Canis lupus familiaris: one gene and its partners. The protein of the gene in region 2 binds, or shares a complex with, the protein of the main gene of each other region. Links are inferred from orthologs where the notes say so. Each region holds a gene or a part of one and is shown on either strand. Other genes may lie near its edges.

Region 1 (3,411 bases), on a different chromosome or scaffold from region 2:
CACTAATGATCAAAGCCTAGCCTAAACCACAGTCTCTGTTCACTTGAATTTCCAAAATCCAAGGAACTGTGGCTGCTTAATCATGCTTTAGCTCATCTACACATTTCACAACAAGGCAATTAAGTAAACACTATCAGTTCCAGTTTGGATAAGGAAATGAAGGCATTAACTACCCTGGCCCAGGATCACAGCAGTGGCAGAGCTGGGATTCCAACCATAGTCGGTCTGAATCCAGAACCTGTATTCCTAACTACTGTATCTACTGTCCTTACCCAGACCCCCTTGATCTATTAGGATGCCAATAATCCCACGGATCTCTCGACCTTCACAGACCCTTGGCAAATCCCAGAGCTTCCATTCAGGCTCCCAAGCTGCTGGCTTACTCTTCCCTCACTGATCCAGTTGGATCCTGAACTCTTTATTGAGCTGCTGGGTACTGAGAGTATAGTGACAACCCTCCCACGTTAGAAAAGACCTCCTTCAAAGATGACAACAATGAAGCAACTTCTAAGATTTTATTAACATGAGTTTTTAAAAACAAGCATCCGTATCAGTGTGGGGGAGATGGTAGTGAAGAGGGGAGAGGAGCCAACAGGAGGGGAGAGGAGCGGGGTGGGGGGGGAGGCAGGACAGGACAAATGGAAGGAATTCTGCTCTATTGGTAATAAAGCTCCAGGTTCATCCCATCGTGGATTTCATCTGAAGTAAAAAACGTTAAGGAACTCTCACTGTGGGCTCCATCTCCACCCTCTCATCTTGCACAGGTGGGTCAGGGTGGCCTGAGGGCTCCACCCAGGGCCAAGGGAGCCATTTTGAACTAGGTCAATTTTGATTTGAAAAGAATCAGAACTATAAAAAAAACAAAGGTTCACGCTCCTGTTGCACAACAGACATGCCTGAGTCTCACTCCACCCTGACCACTTGTCCACACTCAGGTAGAGATCAGTAATAAATATTTAGACCTTCAAGTTTCTTCTAAGCCAAGCCAAAGCATTTCATCAACCACCCTCCACCCCTAACCAACATGACATGGCTTCCATTTTCTTTCTTTCTTTTTTCTTTGGATCCCATTTTCCAAATGCTTACTGTGTGCTACATTCTAAGTTAAATACTTTATGTGCACCATCTCATACAGACTCCAGCACCGAACAAAGAGAACCAAGTCTGGTATACAGAGCCTTCCTCAAGAAGTCACGCAAAGGATACAGTCCCCCAAAGACACGTGGTCCTTGAAAATCGTGTACCTGTGGGATAGAAACCTTTTGAATTTGAAGTCTGAGGTGGATTTTCATGCAGGAGGCAAGCTGAGGAAGCTCTGCCTAAGCCCACAGGGCTCCCCCACCCAAACCTTCTGGCCCAGTCCCATCCAGTCCCCAGTTCCACCGCTGCACTCACCACTTCTTCAGGACGATCTTGTTCCAACGGGTGCCAGTTTGGGCTGCGATCAGCTTCTTAAGGTCCCCGATGGTGTCATCAGTGCTGGGCGCAGACGAGTTAAGGAAAACGGAAGGGAGAACGGGGAAGAGGACATCCCAGGGCTGAAGGCGCCCTGCCAGGCCCCCACCCGCCCACTCCCCCGGGTTTAACTAAAGTCACCCTACAGCACACACGGAGATGCCTGCCTCACATCAAGCACCCCAGGAACCACTGCCTCTCAGCCGCGGGTGGATACTTGCACTTAACGCGGACCTTCTTCCCTAGACGGTCGTTGCAAACAACCTCGATCATCCTGTCTGGAGCTACACACGGCGTGGGGTGGAAGGCAGCAGTCAGGACTTCAGGGGTCTCCCAAGAGCCAAGACCCCGGGTTTGAGTCTTACGTTCACCCCTCAACCTCCCAGATTCGCGGTCCTCCTAGGCCCCAACTCCCAGGACCGCGGACCCCAGGCGGCCGCGCCTCCCCGCTCAGGTCGCCTGAAGGCCCGGCCTCGCCTTTCGCAGACGCGCACACCCTTGATGGCCAGGTCCGTCCGCTTTCCCCGACTCTGCGCCTCTCCCACCAGCCCCTCACCTCGAATCGCCTGGAACCCGCCGACGCCACAAACTCCTCGCTCGAGGGCGGAGCCCGGGTTAGAGTAGACGCCGAGAGCCGGAAGCGGAAGTGAACAACCGGAAGCGCCCTCCCCGCTCCCGGCTCAACACCGCTCCGGCTTTCTTCCGGTCAAGGCAGGTTCCGAGCGCCGCTTCGGGGTCCCGAGTTTGGGCAGAGAATACTCGCCCGTCGGTGCGTGGGGCCGCGTTGGGGTCCCGGTTTGTGCGTGGCCGGGGAAGGGGCGTGAAAGCAAAGTCAGAGGTCAGGGGCCGGGCAGAGAGATCCCCCTTCCGTCGGAAGGTGTGGGTTGCCGCGGCCTCGTGTGGCGTCTGGTGGGAACATCAGGGGAGCCCGGGGACGCCCCGTGGGGGTGGTGACTTTTCGTTCCGGAGCCCGATGGAGCCTCTCAGTGGAGCCTCAGCTTCAGGGCGAGGAGGAGCCTGGGTGAAGTCGTGCTGTCATCTCGGGCCCCCTCCCTTCACTGGGGGCGGGGACTTGGAAGCGTTTTGCCCACCCCTCCCTTTGGCCATCGCTTCCCCCCCTTGCACCCCGACACACACACCTGGGCGCAGACCACAGTCAGCAAAGCGGCCTCCTGATCACGTCCTGGATACCAGCACGCACCAGTCCGGAGTCCCGTTCTCTCCTCTGCTGTCTCTGCCTCTCTCTCTGCGTCTCTCATGAATAAATAAAAATCTTAAAACATTTTTTTTTTTTTTTTTGGGTAAAGGGCCGCCTAGGTGGCCCAGTGGTTGAGGGTCTGCCTTTGGCTCAGATCCTGGGATGGGGTCCCGCATCAGGCTCCCCACAGGGAGCCTGCTTCTCCCTCTGCCCTTGTCTCTGCCTCTGTCTCTGTGTCTCTCATCAATCAATCAATCTTTAGAATGGAGTCCAAGTTGCATGCCAACCAGCATGATGGGCAAGTCGAGTGGAAACGACAGAAGAGGGTGATTACCCGGGTTTGTGTGATTGAGGAAGGTCACCCCAGCCCTGCAGGGAGCACCTTGTACCAGATCTCAGCCTTGCCCTTCAGCCCCAGAGCAGCCCCTTCACTGCCAATGGAACCATTAGGCTGTTCTTTCTCTGCAGACAGGATTTTCCCAGTTTGGTGAGCCTAAAGGGATTCGCTCTGAAAATGAGCTGCTGCTTCTGATTTGCTCCATCCACCTTCTCTGTCTCTCTGTCTTTTAAAAAAGATTTGTTTATTTATTCATGAGAGACAGAGAGAGGCAGACACATAGGCAGAAGGAAAAGCAGGCTCCCTGCGGGGAACGTGATGTGGGACTCGAGCCCAGGACCTCGTGATCACACTCTAAGGACTAGGCTACCACTGCGGCATAGACACCCTCTCTTCCAGATTAAGGTGACAAAGGAAGGAG
Region 2 (4,228 bases):
CCCAAAGACAGAACCCACCAGAAGGCACTCCAACAGGCACTCTACTCCAAGCCCAAGTCAAGAGTCTAGCCCCTAAGATAACAATTAAATGCTTTATGGGAAATATAACGTGTAATTTCTGGTGGTGCTGGGAAGAGGCTGCAGGTTGGGAGTAGGAGGTAGCAGGAAGCAGCAGGCTTAGCTTGCCCCATCACCCAGGAGCTTTGGTTGTGGAGCTGCCCCCACCAGCACACACAGCTCTGCTTCTGCTCCTGAGTGGATCATCTCACAGAGCAACAGCTGTGACTCCTCCACTCCCATTTCCAACATTTATGCTGGGTCCTAGGAATTCAAGAGGGAACAGGACCTAATGGCCTCTGCCTTTGAGAACTCAGGGTGGGAGGGGAGGAGGTTTGGATCCTTAAAGGGGTACGTATCTTACACTGTAACCAGTGGTTTGCACAGGGGCCGCCAGTCCCAGCAACTGGGGGTTGCGGGTCAGAGGAGGAATTATGTGAATTGCGATTTTACTTTTTAAAAGACTTTGTTTATTCATGAGACACACAGAGATGTAGCCAAAGGGAGAAGCAGGCTCCCTCTGGGGAGCCCGACAGGAACTGGGTCCGGGATTACGACCTGAGCCAGAGGCAGACGCTCAACTACTGAGCCACCCATGCGCCTTGGGATTTTAACTTCTAAGTAACTTCAAATTTGGGCCCCCAAGGAGGGGGGTGGGAATGAGCTCACATACCCAGTCGTGCTGTGTGGAATTTTGCAGTTTCTGGGGGTTCAAAGTACAGATTTAAAAACCCAATCCAAGGTGAGGGGGGTGCCTGGGTGGCGTCTCCCACTCTTGGTTTCGGCTCAGGTACGATCTCAGGGTTCAGCTGGCCCTTGTCTCCCTCTCCTTGCCGCTCCCGCTTACGCGCTCTCTCAAATAAGTAGATCTTAAAAAAAAAGAAACAAAAGACAAGGAAAAAAGAACCCAATACGAGTAAGGTGGAAAGGCAGCATTTGATAATATCGGGTGTAGGGGCTCAGAGGCTGGGCTGGGTCTCAAAACAAGCTGCGGCGTCCCACACCCGATGGAGCCACGACGAGGGGGCGGGGGCGGGTGGAGCCCACCGGGAGGACGCCGACTGGAGCGGCGGGCGCGGTGCACGGTAAAACCGGTAAACCCGTGAGGCAGGGAGCGTCTGGTGGCGGGGGGGGGGGCGCCTCCAGCTCCCAGATTGCCGGCTTTAAGGGCTTATAGTTCGGAGGCCTGTAACCCCTACACCCGGCGCACGCACGCACTTCGAAGACCGCCACCAGACCAACAGCTCCGCAAACACGCAGCCGGGCTCCAACCCCGGCCTTCCCGTGAGCCCTCGGGGCAGGCACCGAGGCGAACGGCGGAAGCAGCCACTCTTGGTTTCCGGCAACACGACAGCGGCTGCCGGGCGACCCGGAAGTAGTCCCATTTTGCGTCGTCGGGGCTCGGCGGCGGCCGGGCTCGGGGCGGACGTACCACCATGGGGTCGTCAAAGAAGCACCGTGGGGAGAAAGAGGCGGCCGGGACGACGGCGGCGGCCAGCACCGGAGGCGCCACCGAGCAGCCGCCGCGGCACCGGGAGCACAAAAAACACAAGCACCGGAGCGGCGGTGGCGGGAGCAGCGGTGGCGAACGTCGGAAGCGGAGTCGGGAGCGTGGGGGCGAGCGCGGGGGCGGGCGGCGCGGGACCGAAGCCGAGACACGCAGCGGCGCGCACGGGCGGGAGCGCGGCCAGGCTGAGCCCTCAGAGCGGCGCGTGAAGCGGGAGAAGCGCGATGACGGCTACGAGGCCGGTGAGGGCGGGGCCTGTGGGGGCGGGGCGGGGCGTCCCGGGGCGGGCGGTCTGGCCTGGGTGCGAGCCGAGCGCTGCCGCCCCGGCTCCCCGACGCTGTCTCCGTCAGCAATTATTAGAGAGTCTCCCCGTTTGGGATTAAAAGTTGTCTCTCTCTACTAACCTCTGCGAGGGCAGAGGTTTTCTGTTGTCTCAAAATTGGCCCCTCACAGGCCCTTATTTGTTGAGTGAATGAATCAATGAAGTTGTTCTAGCTCGTGCAGAACCAAGAAGAAACCTGATATTGGGCAAACCGGGTAGGGTTCATAGCAGAGATAGGAAACCGGTCGGAGCACAAAGGGCCCTACAGAAATTTGAATTTTGTCTTGAGGGTGGTAGAGAGCCATGGATTTAAGCTGAGGAATGAGTTGATCATATTTTGCAAAGATTCCTAGATTGAGACCTGGTTCAAAAATAGTCAAGACTGGAGGCCACGTGAGGATTGATAGTGGCGTGTGCTGAGGCAGCGGAGGGTGGAGAGACCTGAACAGATTGAAGAACCGTTTGGGAGGAGGAATTAGAGCTTACTTAGCACTTGGGTGAGGGTAAGAAGGAAATGAGGATGGCTCCTTAAATTTTGGTTTGAGCAACTGGGTGGGTGGTTGTGTCTCCTGAAATTGAGGACTTTGGGAGAGAAGCAGACTTTTGAGGGGAGAGAGTTCAGTTGTGGAGAGCATTGCAACCGATAGGGTTTGGGCTGGATAGAGCAATTTGGAAGTCATAAGTAAATCAGGTGGCAAATGAAGCCTGGCGAGAGAGTAAGGAGTGGGCAGTAGAACCTTAAAAATGCCAGCATTTTCGTAGTAGGTAGAGTAAGAGGCTATAAGAATGCTTGATGGTACAATATCCAGAAAAGAAAACTATAGAATCTTGTGTCATGGGGTCTGTTGCAAAGAATAGTCAATGGTGTCACACACACCACAGAAAATAAAGGAAATTCGAGCTGAAAAGAATCCGTTGGATTTAGAAATAAGGAGGCTGGTGACCTTGGAGAGAGCCTAGAAAGGTTGAGATCCAGGGTCCAGGTGAGGTATAGGGGAAGAGGTAGGTTATGGAGTGGGGACGCAGGAAGGATGAACAGGTGGTAGCACCTGGGTGGGGAAGCTCCATCTGGTGGCGTCTAGCCTCTGTCTGTGTGTTGTGTTCCGAAGTTACTTGCTGAGTGAGAGATGAGTAGAGGAAGTCTGAAAAGCTACTTTATCTCAGCATCCTCACTATCCATCGCAAAACAGGGACCATTAAGTGTATTTCTTGACTGGATGAACTGCGCAGAGAACACAGTCATGCTGCTAACACAGTCCCTGACCAGTGGGGAGAAACAGACCTGGAAGTGAGTGATGAGCTGTGGAGTTCAGGAGAGAGCAGTTCATTCTGACCAATAATTAAATAGGAGTTCAGAAGGAGGTGGCATTTGGTCTCAGCATTTGGATAGGATCTCGTCTATCAGAGTTAGGCCAAGGAGGGCAGTGTGGGCTGAAAACAGAATGTACAGAAGTGGAGAGGAGGCAGAGTGAAGGCTGCAAAAAGGTTGGACCTTTTGGGGCAGGAAAGGAAGGTTATGTTGGGGTCTCAAGAGATTGGGACTGAGATGGAAGGAGCTACTGAGATGGAGGAAGGTTGCTGTTTTCGAGTGTCTCAGTAGGGCCCGGGTATGGGTAAGGGAGGTCCCTGCAGAGCTCGAGCCAAAGATGTGGTTTGTTGGCCCTTTGTTCAGCTCCTGAACTATACTTCTTGTTCCAGCTGCCAGCTCCAAAAGTAGCTCAGGAGATGCCTCATCTCTTAGCATCGAGGAGACCAAGTAAGTTCTGTCTTCCTGATGTTTCTACTTTTATTTTCTGAGACAGAGGGCTTCTGGGAACAGTTTCCTGGGGGACCATTCACACACTAAGGCATTCTGACTGGAATTGGAAATGACGTATAACCATTTGAGTTACAGAAAAGACGCTAAGACCCAAGAGAAAGATGGTCTTCTGCTGGTTAGGGGCAGGCCAGGCCTAGTGCCTGTGTTCCCTGATTTGGAGGCCAGCATCCTTCCCAATGTCCTTGGCTGCCTGGGTCAGTCTCTGCTTTGGGGACCCTTAGGACTTCTCAGTTCCATCCTGTTTTCACTCTCTATCCAGAAATGTCTCTGATGTCCCTATTTTGTTGGCAGCTCCTAACATGTGTATCTCTTGTCCTCAGTAAACTCCGGGCAAAGTTGGGGCTGAAACCCTTGGAAGTCAATGCTGTCAAGAAGGGTGAGTGTGGGACTGAGGATGGGGGTGAGGGAGGGCATTTGGGTGGAGGAGAAAGATCATCTGAAGGGGTCTTTGAGGAGGATGGGGTTATGGCACAGGTTCAGCACCATTTAGTGGCCATGTGTGTGTATGTGTGTGTGTACACAC
Region 3 (4,066 bases), on a different chromosome or scaffold from region 2:
TTCTTCTCTCAAACTCAGCTAACACTTCGGCCTGTCGTTCACTGATGTGCTCTTCAATTTCAAACACCTCTCCTATAAGAAGAACAGGTAATATCAGCATTATCACTAGATCTTCAAACAGAGGGGAAAATAATTTCTTACAATTGCAGTCTGTGTATCCTCTAGGAACTAATTTATTACATACTTTATTGTTTCTCAGTTTATTAAATTTTGCTAAACACAAAAAACTAAATGATAGCTCATTTAAAATTACTTAAGTCATCTTTTTTTTTTTTTTTTAAAGATTTTATTTATTTACGAGAGAGAGCGAGAGAGACAGTGCAGGAGTGCAGGGAGGAACAGAGGGAGGAGAAGCAGACTCCCTGTAGAGCAGGGAGCCCAACACAGGGCTCAGAACCTACCACCCTGAGATCGCGACATGAGCCAAAACCAAGAGTTGGACGCTTAACCAACTGAGCCACGCAGGCTTACCTCACATCATCTTGTTTTGACAACCTTACATCTACATACACACATAACTTAGAGGAGATCAGAAAGTAGAAGTACAAAGCACTTTCAGCAAATGAGTTAACTAGATCTTCTATCCAGAAGATAAAATAGATACAGTACTTTAACACTTGCCAAACCTATTCTCTAAACCAGCCCCAGCTGAGGATATCTATGACTTTAACTAGTAAACTGGAGAAAATTACCATTAAAGGGCTTTCCCTTAACTATAGACTTTTTGGATAACCTAGCAGTTAGTTTTAAAACCAACACTGGGGCATCTGGGTGGCTTAGTCGGTTAAGCATCTGCCTTTCGCTCAGGTCATGATCCCATAGTCCTGGGATCGAGTCTCAAGTGAGGCTTCCTGCTCAGTGGGGTATCTGCTTCTCTGCCCCTCCCTGGCTCATGCTCTAATAAATAAATAATAAAATAAATAAATAAAACACACACTGACTATGAGGATTTTTTTTTTTTTAAGTGTGGGTGTGGAGCCCAACTCTGGGCTTGAACTCACAACCTTGGGTGGTTCAGCGGTTGAGCATCTGCCTTCGGCTCAGGACATGATCCTGGAGTCCCAGGATCGAGTCCTGCGTCGGGCTCCCTGCATGGAGCCTGCTTCTCCCTCTGCCTTTGTCTCTGCCTCTCTCTGTCTCTCTCTCTCTCTCATAAAAAATAAATAAAATCTTAAAAAAATAAATAAATAAAATCTTTATGGGATCCCTGGGTGGCTCAGTGGTTTAGAGCCTGCCTTTGGACCAGGGTGGGATCCTGGGGTCGGGTCCCATGTCGGGCTCCCTGTATGGAGCCTGCTTCTGACTCTGCCTATGTTTCTGCCTCTCTCTCTCTCTCTCTGTCTCTCATGAATAAATAAATAAAATCTTAAAAAAAAAAAAAAAAAAAAAGAAAGAAAAAGGCTCTCTAGATGATGCTAACCAGGGTAGGCAAAGGATGGCCTTACATAGATCCAAGTTTAACTAACATTTTTGATATTATAATACAAAGATAAAGAGGGACTCACAATTTGCATCTTACCAGAGGTTATGTTAATATTTCCTGCTTCAATTCCAGCTTTAAGTCCTTCTTTTCCCAAAATCCCAGACTCTCCTTTGGCCAGACGCTCCCTCTCCTTCTCTTCCAAACTTCCGTAATAGATGTGTGGTTTCTTCACAACAGGAGCAACTAAGTCATCAGGTGCCTTAGTTTTGGTTGCCTGATAAATCAAAGACACGGATTAACCTAAGGTCTGATACTAACCACTTATTAGGCTTCCCCCAAAGGATGGAGCTCATCCTGAGCTTCAATCCTATTTTCCCCCCAAATGAAAAGGACAGGTCGGACACCAGTTCAGGTTATCTTCACTGACTGGGGGGCGGGGTGTCTCTCCAAGCTACTTAGGTTCTGCAGACGGGAAGAGGCTAATAGAACTAGTCCATCATTATTCTTGGTAACTTTTCTATCAAAGATTTGCTTTGGAACATGTCTGCATCATTCCGTGGCAACCTCTTCTTGGGTTTTATGAAATTTCCAAGGTTACCCCTCATCACAGGGGCAGTATCAAGGAGAACAACCAACGCAGTATTAAAGGGGGGCAAGTTAGTTACTTTTCGGTACATTTCAAACGTTTTCAGAGTAAGGCAACACATATGAAGTTAGGAGGCCAAACTGCAATGAAGTCTGACACAGACGTGAATCTGGGCCTTCTAGAGCTCAGGTTTTGGAGCAGTCGGAAGAGGTATTTACCGTTCGGGCCTGTAGTGAGGGGTGCAAATGAATTAAAACACGGGAACGGGGGGATCCCTGGGTGGCTCAGCCGTTTAGCGCTGCCTTCGGCCCAGGGCGTGATCCTGGAGTCCAGGGATCGAGTCCCGCATCAGGCTCCCTGCCTTGAGCCTGCTTCTCCTCCCTCTGCCTGTGCCTCTGCCCCTTTCTCTGTGTCTCTCATGAATGAATGAATAAAATCTTTACAAAAATAAAAATAAATAAAACACGGGAACGTACTTCGGGGTCTGGAAAACGCTGCTCCTCTAAGGACCGAGTCTCTCAGCCTTTCACCTCCGACCTCCACCGCCTTAGCCCGTTCCCCGAGGGACCCCATTTCGCAGGAACCGCCCCCCCAGCCCCTTCCGCGCTCCCCGCCAGAGTGAGTGGAGTTCCGTACCGTGGAGGCGGCTCGTGAGGAAGCCATGCTGAGCTCCGCGGCCGCCAAACCCCGGCGAAAGCCGAGCTCTGCGTTTTCAGACCGTCCACCGCGCGCCCGGCAAAGCGGAACTGCGTCACTGGCCGGAAGTGGGCCGACGCAGCGTCGTGGGTGGCGTGGGGCATGACGGGAGTAGTAGTAGGGAAGCGTCGTGGCGCCAAGAGTAGCGTGAACTTAAGGAGAAAAGCACGCGGCGGACGAGACTCTGCAGAGCAGTCTGGGAAGTGTAGTCCCGCTCGCTTAGCTGAAGATTCGCGGTGGGCGCCGCCGGGGTTCCGGGAGGAGGCCGAGCAGGCTTGGAAAGAGGTAGGTGCGTCGGGCCGCGCGGCCGCGGGCTGAGCTCCGGAGCAAATGGAGGGCTTCCGAGGCCTGCCGTGGCCCCCGGCCCCGCGAGGGGCTGCGGTGGGCCCGGAGCGGAGGGCCAGGTTGCCATGGAAACCCTCGCTGTGGGCCCGCGGGTGCCACTCTGCAGCTGGTCGCCCTCCCCGCTGTCGGGAGGTTGTCCCAGGGCCCTCCTTGGAGCGGGCTGAATGCGCAGTGGATTCGGGCGGCGGCCACCAGCTCCCAAGTAGAACGGAGGCCCGGAGGAGGAGCCACGGCCTGCTTTTATTGCTGGTCTTCAGCCGAGTGTTTGTACCGGGGTCGGAGTGAGGCGATGCCTGTCAAGTGCACACGGGCACCTCTGCACGGCCTGGGTACCGCGGGGGCGGGGGGGGGGGCGGGCTGCGGCATCCGACAGGAGCAAGGCCAGGGCTTTCCCCCCTGTCGGGGGTGGAGATGCTTGAAGTTTGGGTGATTCTCGGGCCGGACGGAGGCCCCCCCCCCCCCCCCCAAGGACAATTAGGATGATAATAATAATAATAATAGCTGGTGTTTATTGGGCGTTTACTAAATGCCAAGTTGTGTTCCAGGCACTTACACTGCCGTACCTCACTCAGTCTAGACAACAGAGGGCAGAACATGAGGAAACCAGCGTCCACTGTGAAGATGAAGCTAGTGTCCCAGAGGGTTGGCGTGTGGGATTAGAGCCCCTGCCCTCTGCCCTTGGGCCTCCTGAGCGAGCAGCTTTGCCCATCACTCGGTACTGCCTCCTAGTGGCGAGCTTTACAAAGTTTGCAGAAAAGTGAGGAACCTGTACGGCAGGGTTTTTTTTTTTTTTTTTCCCTCCCCTACTCTCCCTTGGAACTTCGGCTTCCTCTACCATTTGTTTACATCGGACTTAAGAGAGTATCTGATTTATTTCTTTGATTTTACCTTTTTTTTTTTTTTAAAAAGGGAAGATTTTTATTATTAAGTGATTCTACACCCAATGTGGGGCTCAAACTTAGAGCCCCCACATCAAGAGCCCCATCCATGCGCCACCAACTGAGCCAGCCAGGCGC

The links. The genes of interacting proteins can lie anywhere in the genome.
Region 1: the proteins of SART1 (region 2) and UBL5 are in contact, whole or in part, in a crystal structure (PDB 4PYU), measured with the Homo sapiens proteins. The link is inferred for Canis lupus familiaris from reciprocal best matches to the Homo sapiens genes SART1 and UBL5. Residues at the interface, in NP_005137.1 of Homo sapiens: Ser117, Leu118, Ser119, Ile120, Thr123, Leu126, Arg127, Leu130, Leu132, Lys133, Leu135; in NP_001041706.1 of Homo sapiens: Met1, Glu3, Arg15, Lys17, Cys18, Asn19, Asp21, Asp22, Asp26, Lys29, Leu30, Ala33, Gln34.
Region 3: SART1 (region 2) and PRPF4 share a complex: the UniProt entries of both Homo sapiens proteins name them as parts of the U4/U6-U5 tri-snRNP complex. The link is inferred for Canis lupus familiaris from reciprocal best matches to the Homo sapiens genes SART1 and PRPF4.

Annotation. Positions count from the first base shown.
Region 1 is NC_049241.1:51,569,494-51,572,904, forward strand, and holds UBL5 (ubiquitin-like protein 5), read right to left. Parts: upstream 2,166-3,411; 5' UTR 2,012-2,165; intron 1,740-2,011; 5' UTR 1,729-1,739; coding exon 1,673-1,728; intron 1,480-1,672; coding exon 1,396-1,479; intron 1,245-1,395; coding exon 1,207-1,244; intron 700-1,206; coding exon 656-699; 3' UTR 501-655; downstream 1-500. UniProt on the Homo sapiens protein: Ubiquitin-like protein that plays a role in cell proliferation and sister chromatid cohesion by associating with spliceosomal proteins. Participates thereby in pre-mRNA splicing by maintaining spliceosome integrity.
Region 2 is NC_049239.1:51,813,363-51,817,590, reverse strand, and holds the start of SART1 (U4/U6.U5 tri-snRNP-associated protein 1), read left to right. Parts: upstream 1-1,428; 5' UTR 1,429-1,493; coding exon 1,494-1,806; intron 1,807-2,003; exon of another isoform or gene 2,004-2,101; intron 2,102-3,584; coding exon 3,585-3,642; intron 3,643-4,025; coding exon 4,026-4,081; intron 4,082-4,228. Other genes in the region: TSGA10IP (testis-specific protein 10-interacting protein), read left to right, coding at 1-76. UniProt on the Homo sapiens protein: Plays a role in mRNA splicing as a component of the U4/U6-U5 tri-snRNP, one of the building blocks of the spliceosome. May also bind to DNA.
Region 3 is NC_049232.1:68,050,454-68,054,519, reverse strand, and holds the start of PRPF4 (U4/U6 small nuclear ribonucleoprotein Prp4), read right to left. Parts: upstream 2,801-4,066; 5' UTR 2,673-2,800; coding exon 2,646-2,672; intron 1,698-2,645; coding exon 1,520-1,697; intron 73-1,519; coding exon 1-72. UniProt on the Homo sapiens protein: Plays a role in pre-mRNA splicing as component of the U4/U6-U5 tri-snRNP complex that is involved in spliceosome assembly, and as component of the precatalytic spliceosome (spliceosome B complex).